Linked DNA regions of Sus scrofa. The protein of the gene in region 1 purifies or fractionates together with the protein of each later gene. This does not show direct contact. Links are inferred from orthologs where the notes say so. Each region holds a gene or a part of one and is shown on either strand. Other genes may lie near its edges.

What was found.
Region 2: the proteins of COPS9 (region 1) and CUL4B purify together in Homo sapiens (affinity purification with mass spectrometry; 3 studies listed by BioGRID and IntAct, with this or other methods). This does not show direct contact. The link is inferred for Sus scrofa from reciprocal best matches to the Homo sapiens genes COPS9 and CUL4B.

The regions. Positions count from the first base shown.
Region 1 is NC_010457.5:139,261,201-139,265,677, reverse strand, and holds the start of COPS9 (COP9 signalosome complex subunit 9), read left to right. Parts: upstream 1-1,425; 5' UTR 1,426-1,517; coding exon 1,518-1,580; intron 1,581-3,581; coding exon 3,582-3,654; intron 3,655-4,477.
Region 2 is NC_010461.5:98,688,848-98,692,658, forward strand, and holds part of CUL4B (cullin-4B), read right to left. Parts: intron 2,610-3,811; coding exon 2,536-2,609; intron 1,733-2,535; coding exon 1,570-1,732; intron 1,423-1,569; coding exon 1,333-1,422; intron 1,038-1,332; coding exon 955-1,037; intron 157-954; coding exon 89-156; intron 1-88.

The DNA.
Region 1 (4,477 bases):
ATCAGAGGCTCACACACGTGTTCAGTCAGTTTTCCCTTCTCCCTGGGCCCTGTGCTGTCCACCCCACCCTGGCCCCAATCCCTGCTCAGCATTTCCTCGCTCCCGGGAGCCATCCTTCCCTCCCCCACCCCCACTTATCTGGCAGCCCAGCCCCCAAGCCTACCTAAGTCTAAAAGTGTTCCCTACCCCTGCCGCCCTCCATTCTCGCACATTCACATTCTTCTTAGAAAACATATAATACAATACATATAACCGAAAACACACTCTCCTGACTGTTTTTGAGGGGCAGTGAGCGTACCCATCATTACCATGGCGGCACAATCAACTCCGGACGACTTCATCCTCCCCACCTGAAACTCTCCCCATTACACACTCACTCCCCTCCTGCAGCCCCATTCTACTTTCTGCCTATGAATTTGGTTCCTCTGGTATCTCCTGCAGGTGGAACTGTACAGTATCTGTCTTTTGGTGATTTCCCTAAGCGTAATGGCTGCAGGGTTCATCCACATTGCAGCATGTGGCAGAATTCCCTTCCTTTTAAAGGCTGAATAACATTCCCTAGTATGGATGGACCACATTTTGCTCAACCATTCGGACGCTGATGGACACCTTCCCCAGCTGCTTCCACATTTTGGCCATCGTGAAGAACGCTGCTGTGAGCATGGGTCTACAGATATCTCCTGGAGACCCTGGTTTCAATTTGGATACATACCCAGAAGTGGCATCTATGCTTCTGTAAGTTTATTTACTATAATCTATAAGTAAATCCATGCTTAATTTTTGAGGAACCTCCACATTGTACCATCTTACAGTCCAGCCAACAGTGCACAGGGCTTCCAATCACCCCCCCTCCTTGCCAGCGTTTGCTGTTTTCTGGGGTTTTGACAGCGGCCATCCTGATGGTGTGGGCGGTGTCTCGGTGCTGTTTGGTTTGCATTCCTTTAAGGATCAGTAATGTGGAGCATCTTTTCATGGGTTTCCTGGCCATTTATGCATCTGCTCTGAGAAACGTCTATTCAAGTCTATTTTTCAATCAGACTCCCTGTTTTTTTCGTTGTTGCACTTTAGGAAGTCTCTATACATTCTGGAATATTAACTCCTTATCAGACATATGGTTTACAATATTTTCTCCCATTCTGCGAGTTGCCTTTTCACCCCGTTAGCCACTCACCTCCTTTAATAGGTACTTCTTGGGCACCTGTCTGTGCCAGGCCCTTAGGGCTAAACTGTGGCCACGGGCCACCGTAAAGTCATTGAGCAGCTTCCCTCGTGTGCTGACAGGCAGACGAAACCCTTTCCCCACCGGCCTGGACCAGGGCCAGCCCTGCGGGTAAAGAAGAACGGAGGAGCGAACCATAGAGTTGAAGGTCCTCCGGAGTCTAGACTGACCAGAGGGCGAGAGGAAACCATAGAGTCTGCGGCCCTCCTGCGTCTAGACTTGCCACGCAAGGCGTGCACCGGAAGAGGCCGTCGGCGGGCCGGAAGTGGATCGGGAACGCCCGGGGCTGCAGGAGGAGATGAAGCCGGCGGTGGACGAGATGTTTCCCGAGGGCGCAGGTCCCTACGTGGACCTGGACGAGGTGAGGCGGGCGGCGCCGGGCGGCGGGCGGGCGGGCGGGCGGCGAAGCCAGGGCCTGTTCTCGGGCGCGCCGGGTCCGGGGCGAGAGGAGGAGGCGGCCTGCGCGGCCCGCTCGCGCTCCCGCGGTTCCTTCCTCTAAGGGAGAATTGGGGCCGGGATGTCTGCGGCCGGGGTTGCGGTGAGGACCCGCAGGGACGCCCGGGGGAGACCCTGGGGACCGGGTTGAGCTCCTGTCAGGCGGTGGAGGTGGAGGTGGGCCCGCTCGGAGTTGCCTGCAGTCGGGCGGTGGGAGTGAGCCCCTAGTGGGGCGTCTGGAAGGAGGGGAGACCAGAGCCCGGCTGGCGCGCGGCACTTGGGCGAGAAGCGGCCGCCAGCCTGGGAGGCGGAGGAGAGGCCGTTTGGCAGGTACGTGCCCCCTGCGGTGCCCGCTCTCCTCCCGCTGTGACCGGCGTTGTGAAGTGGTCCTGCGTTTTCGTTTACCCCATCCTGTGGTCACGGGGCGTTCCTGTCCGGTGTTGGTGCTCAGTGAGCTCGGCGTGTCCGGCCAGCTGCTCGGCGTCAGGGCCTGGATTTCTCTCTCAAAGCTCAGGGGGTGGGGGACAGACCCAGCCTGTGTTCCCCTGGAGCTCATGGTGGGACAGAGAAAGGCGGCCTGCAAGTACGAAGCATGGGAGAAGGTTGGCGGTGCAGGTCGATGGAAGCCCCCGGGGGCTTTGGGGTGACCCAGCAAGGGCTTAGGAGAGCAGCTGACTGCAGCCGCATCCTGAAGCCGTGCTGGGGGGAGAAGGCCTGGAAGGAGCCACCCTGAAGGGGTCTAAGGGAAGGAAGGCCCTGTGATTTAACACGGAGGCTCCTCAGGTGCCTGGAGAGAGAACGGGATGGAGCTGGGGAAGGGGGCAGGGGTGGCTGCGCTGGGACGGGTGGGTCTCCTCTCCACTCAGGCACTTCCACTAACCCCCTGCTTCTCAGTCCTGTGTTACAGTCCCTGCTCTAGGCCCCGGGGCTGGGGTGGGGGGTGTCACCCGGGGCCTTGCAGTGGGGCGTGATGATCTCTGACGGGTTTGCAGGACGGTCGCTCAGGAGAGCTTGGGGGTGGGAGAGTGGCACCATGCAGACGAATGAAGGCGACCCCTCAGGTGGGAGTGGGGACAAGCTCCACCGGCCGTCCCTGGCGGGGTCTGCATGGCTTGCTGTGGGGTGGGCGGGGGAGGGAGGCCCTGAGAGTTCTGGTTGCTCAGAGCAGCTGTGAGAGGGGACCCAGAGGTGCTCAGCTATTCCAGCCAGGAAGAGGCGGAGCCCACAGCCTTGGGGATGCTGGGGGTCATGGTAGCAGCAGGAACCTGTGGGCCGGGCGTCCAGGGTGCCGCCACCAAAGGACTCTGGTCACCCGTCACGGAGTGACGTTAAGTGCCTCAAACCGCTCATCAGATCGCCCGCGTCTGGCCATGGCATTGTTTTATGGCTGCCAGAGCCCCGGTCCGCAGGTTGGTTTCGCGAGGGAAGTGGTTCACGTCTCACGGCAGGGAGCGTCTCAGAGCAGAGAGATCGCCGGGCTCAGTTTTGCGCACAGCCGGGCCTCTGTGACGACGGCCAGTAGGGCGCTGAGCCCTCTTCTCGAGGTTTACACAGAAGTGGTGCCACTGGGGGCAGTGGCAGGTGTTTATTGAAAAGGGGAGGGGGGAACCTAGGAACGAAGACTGAGCAGCCCTTCACAGTAATTCCTGCAAGTGCCGTCTCCCCCACCCCCTGCAAGTACTGCGTATGGGAGAAGGTTGGCGGTGCAGGTCCGTGGAAGCCCCCGGGGGCTGTGGGGGGACCCAGCAAGGGCCTAGGAGAGCAGCTGACTGCAGCCGGCTCCTGAAGCCGTGGGACTAAATCCTTCCCCTGCGACTACACTTCGTCTCTGACCTGGACACTTTCTGCCGGGGAGTGGGGGCCTGTGAGCCACTGTCACTCATCCTCTTGGGGACGCCGCTGACATAACCCTTCTGTCCGTCCGCAGGCAGGAGGCAGCACCGGGCTCCTGATGGACTTGGCAGCCAATGAAAAGGCAGTTCATGCAGACTTTTTTAATGGTAAGGATGCGGGTTGGGCGGCCAGTTTCAGCCCGTGCTTCCTCTGCAAGGGGTGCAGAGGAGCAGTTTTGGGACGTGAGCGGCTTGGGCCACAGGCCCGGCAGGCCCAGGTCCCGTGCCCTTCTGGGAACTCGGCACAGTCCCTATCAAGCGGGCAGCTGTGTGTCAAGAGGAGAAGCTCCTGCTCTCAGGTTCCGTCTGTCGGGTCTGAGCCGGGTCTGAGCCGTGCGCCCGCGTTCAGACGCCGGAGATGCTCGCAGGGTCTTTCCGTCTGGCCGCCTCGCCTGCCCCCGCTCCCCGATGGCCGGTCTGCTTTCCTCTCCCCATTTGCCGTTCGTCGCGTCCCCTTGGCTGCCTGTGGCAGGGACAGCCACCCTCCTGCTCTTTCCTGCTCGCCTCTGGACCCGCAGCCATGCCCCCAAGGCCAGTTCCCAGAACACAGTGCAGTTGTACCAAATAAACAGTGAAGGGCTGGCTTCGTAGGAGATCTTCATGCACCTTTGAGGGGCATGGGCGGCAGGCCTCAGGCCACCTCGTCCCAGGGGTGCGGGGAGCTGCTCCCTGCGAGAGAGCCAGTGGCCTCTGGACGGGCTCCTCCTGAGGCTTTTGCTCCTTGAACAGGTAGGTTTTGAGGGCCCCCTGTCCCCAGGCTGCGGGGTTCTAACGGCAGGTGACGCCTGCGCTCTGTACTCGCTGTTCGCAGCACAGGGGATGTTGCCAGAGCCGGGCCCGGTGGCCCCGACAGAGGTGGGCGCCCTGTTGCCACGGGCACATTGGAGGGCAGGTCTCGTGGGAGCTGTGGGGCCACATGTGGAGCGCAGCG
Region 2 (3,811 bases), on another chromosome or scaffold:
ATTTTCAAAGGTGCAATCTTTAAAAATTTTCTACTTGTTTGCTGCTATCATTTAAAAAGTAATCTCTTATTTATAAATTGCCAATTACCTTTCTGAAGAATTGCTGTTAAGTGTTCACCTAGAAGTTGTTTCTCTACAGTAGCAATTAATGACTTCCTACAAAAAAAATTAGAATTATTGACATTTGACTTTGCTAAAAATTTACAGCCTCTCCTGGGGGGGGGAATCATATTTCAGAATTTTGTAACAGCATGAAATAAATACTTTCACAGTCTTGCTGTGGCTTTCCCCCAAATTTCTCTGGTTTTATTAGGAAAGTAAAGAATTTATCTATGCTGCTTACAGGTTCTCCTGGGTTGGTAATATTTAGGAAAGCACAGAAATACTTTCTTCTTCTATGAACACCCACTGAATTTGGGTTGTTTTGTTTTGTTTTGTTTGGGCAATGCCCGTGGCATGTGGAAGTTCCCAGGCCAGGAATCGAACCCATGCCACAGCAGCAACCGAGGCGCTGCAGTAACAACACCATATCCTTAACCTGCTCAGCTACAAGGAAACTCCTAAAATGTTTGTTTCGGTTGGCTGAACCCAGGTATAGGGGGAAGTTCCAGGGCCAGGGATTGAACCAGAGCTGCAGCAGTAAAAACGCCACTGTAGTTAACCTATAGGCCACCAGGGAAGTCCTGCACCCACTGAATTTTAATTGACCCAACATTTCAAAGATCACATCAGGTTGTAACTTTTTAAAATTACTGTCCTAAATACATACACATAACCAATAATCAAATCATTGATTAAATCTAATTAACTAGGGACAATAACTGTATTATGAAAACATTGTTAAAGTCTCAAGTCACACCTGAAAATAGTTACTAACATGTTGAATCACCCAAAGAGCCTTAGGTGATTCAACAACATAGGTTAAGGCTATTAGGCTGAGCATGTAATACTTACTGGGTGGTCTGATCTAAGTAAGTAATAAGTCTGTCTGCTTCTTCTTCTAGACGTTTGTTAACATGATGAAGATATTCAGGAACCTACAAAGATAGTTTTTTTATATTATTTTTTTCCTCCCCACAAATCATTCAGAAAATGTTAAGTCCAAAAGATCCTGGGAGCAGCCCTGTCAAATGTGACAGGGGTGAATCATATGTAAAATTATGGGTAGAGTTTATGATCCAGAATTCTGGCCTTTAAGAAGAAAGAAAAGAAGGGAGCAACTGAGAGAAAAGCGGCATAATGTTGGGAAGATAAATGCAAAGGGCAGCTTATATTCTATAAAATAGGGTCTTGTGAGACATAGTGGATTTCTTAATCGTGATTTTTAAATACCTCTCTTTCCTGCATTAATTTTTGGCCTTCAGCTGCATAGAGTCGGTTAGTTTCTTCCAAAAATCGTTGTTCAAAAGAATCCTGATAAATCTGGGAGAGGGTAACAAAATAAAGTTCAATTATTCAATAAATGTTATTATTAAATGTTCTCTATGTGAATAGTACTATGAATTTGGTTTTTAAACATCAAGCTAAGGATACCAATCAGCTCTGTAGTAAGTGAAGTCATTAACTTACTTGCAAATCAGAGAGCATGCTTAAAAGGCTTCGGAGTAAACTTCTATCAATTGCTTCACCATTCCTTTCCCTCTCAATCAAAAGAAGAATGCCATCAATTGTCTTATTCTGGACTTTCTGATCACTAATAATATGAGCTCTGAATAACTCCAGTCCCATGTCCCTAAAACAAACAAACAAAAAAACATATATAAATTAATTAATTGACAACAATACCACTTCTGGAGAGCTTGCTTAATTTCTCACCACATGTTAATTAGGGTTCCAGGCTTTGAAGCAGCAACTGTAAAAGGATAAAACCCACACATTTAATTGTAAATAACATTATTAAATTAAGGCATACAGGAAACTCATTTTGTCTTTAATGAAAACTGAAGCTAAACTCCCATGTTCCTCCATAACTAAATTTTGCTGTATTATTTTCTTTAGTGGATTTCTTCCTTGGTCAAAAAAAGAGAAAATTAGTCCAAAGCTATAAAATGGTCTTCATTGTACTGGTAATGAAGGCTTAATTGCTCATTTGTCATCTGGCTTCAGTACTCAAAAAACAGTAAACTGTCTGATAATTGCCAAAGGTAAATGCCAGGCATGTGGTGGGGGGAAGAGCTCATTAAACTCTTCTATTTTGGTGTATACAGGGAATTTTCCACGATAATGTTAAAAGATAATGAGTGACTCTTGATCAGCAACAAAATCATGCACAGACAGACCAGAGCAAACTTTAATCCCCTGGATAACAAAAAAACCCATCATAAATTATTACCTGGTGAGGGAATGTTAGCCCTCCAATATCACCAGAAGCAAGACATAATTAAAAAGATAAAACTGCTATAAATCCAAGTCTAGAAGCCAAATGTGAATTTTTAGGAGAATATACACAGCATCATTTCTTCTCTTCTGTTAGTGTAATTAAGATTTGATTATGATTTGAAAAAAATCTTTTCAATTTTTTTCTGGCATCCTTACCAAATGGAGGGTAGCATTGAATTCTGAAGAACGTAAGTCCTATCCAGAAACAAAAAAATGCTTCTGATCATTATCTGCCAAGGAAAAAAATAAACAATTCTTTTATGTCATGCAGTTGAAATATTGGCTCTTGATAAAATAAGATTGCAGGGTTTACTTGTATATATACTAGACTACTAGGGTCAAACATACAGATAAACACATCTACCTGAGAATAAACCCATACCATTTTTATTAAACTATTCTATTGTCTTAATTCTTGATATACTTTACAGAAAAAAAGATACCTAATCAATTAATCAATTTTGGGGGGAAGGCGAACCTGCAGCATATGAAAGTGCTGGGCTATGGATCGAATCAGAGGTACAGCTGCCGGCCTATGCCGTCAAGCCACAATGGGAATTCAAAAAAAGACACTTAAAATGGTCTATGACTTCTCTGCAATTTGAGAAGTAAATGAAAATAAAAACAGAATCAAGAGGGCACACATACAATTTTTCCTCAGCAACAGTCCTCAGAGTGAAAGTACCTAAATTGTACACTTGGGATTTTGGATGGTGGGATGGATTTTAAGGTTTTTAATCTGAAGGATATCAGGTTTAAAATTATACCAAATTAAGGAAATATGAAGAGACTGTGATCTGAATAAGCTAAAATAAAGAATCATCTGGCACCTTCACAGGTAATCAAATAGCAGGGGAGACACCATCAAGACTGACAGACAGGAGTTCCTGCTGTGGTGCAGTGGGTTATGAATTCAACTGCAGAGGCCCAGGTAGCTGCAGAGGTGTGGGTTAGATCCCTGGCTGGGTACAGTGGGTTAAAGGAGCCAGTGTTGCCGCAGCTGTGGCACAGGTCACATCTGTGGCTCAGATTCAATCCCTGACTGGGTAATTTCCACATGCCACGGATGCAGCCATAAAATTAAAAAGACTGAAAGACAAAATGTAACACTTATTTAATGAGATAAATATTTTCTGGTTAAGTGTTAAGAAAATAAAAATGAATCTAAGGTACAAGTCATTCTAAAATATGGGTCTGGAGTTCCTGTCACGGCTCAGCAGGCTAAGAACCTTACTAGTATCCATGAGGATGCAGGTTCAGTCCCTGGCCTTGCTCATTGGGTTAAGGGTCCAGCATTGCCGTGAGCTATGCTGTAGGATGCAGATGTGGCTCAGATCCCCTGTTGCTGTGGCTGTGGTGTAGGCCTGGCAGCTGCAGTTCTGATTTGATGCCTAGCCTAGGAACTTTCACATGCCCCAGGTGTGGCCCTGAA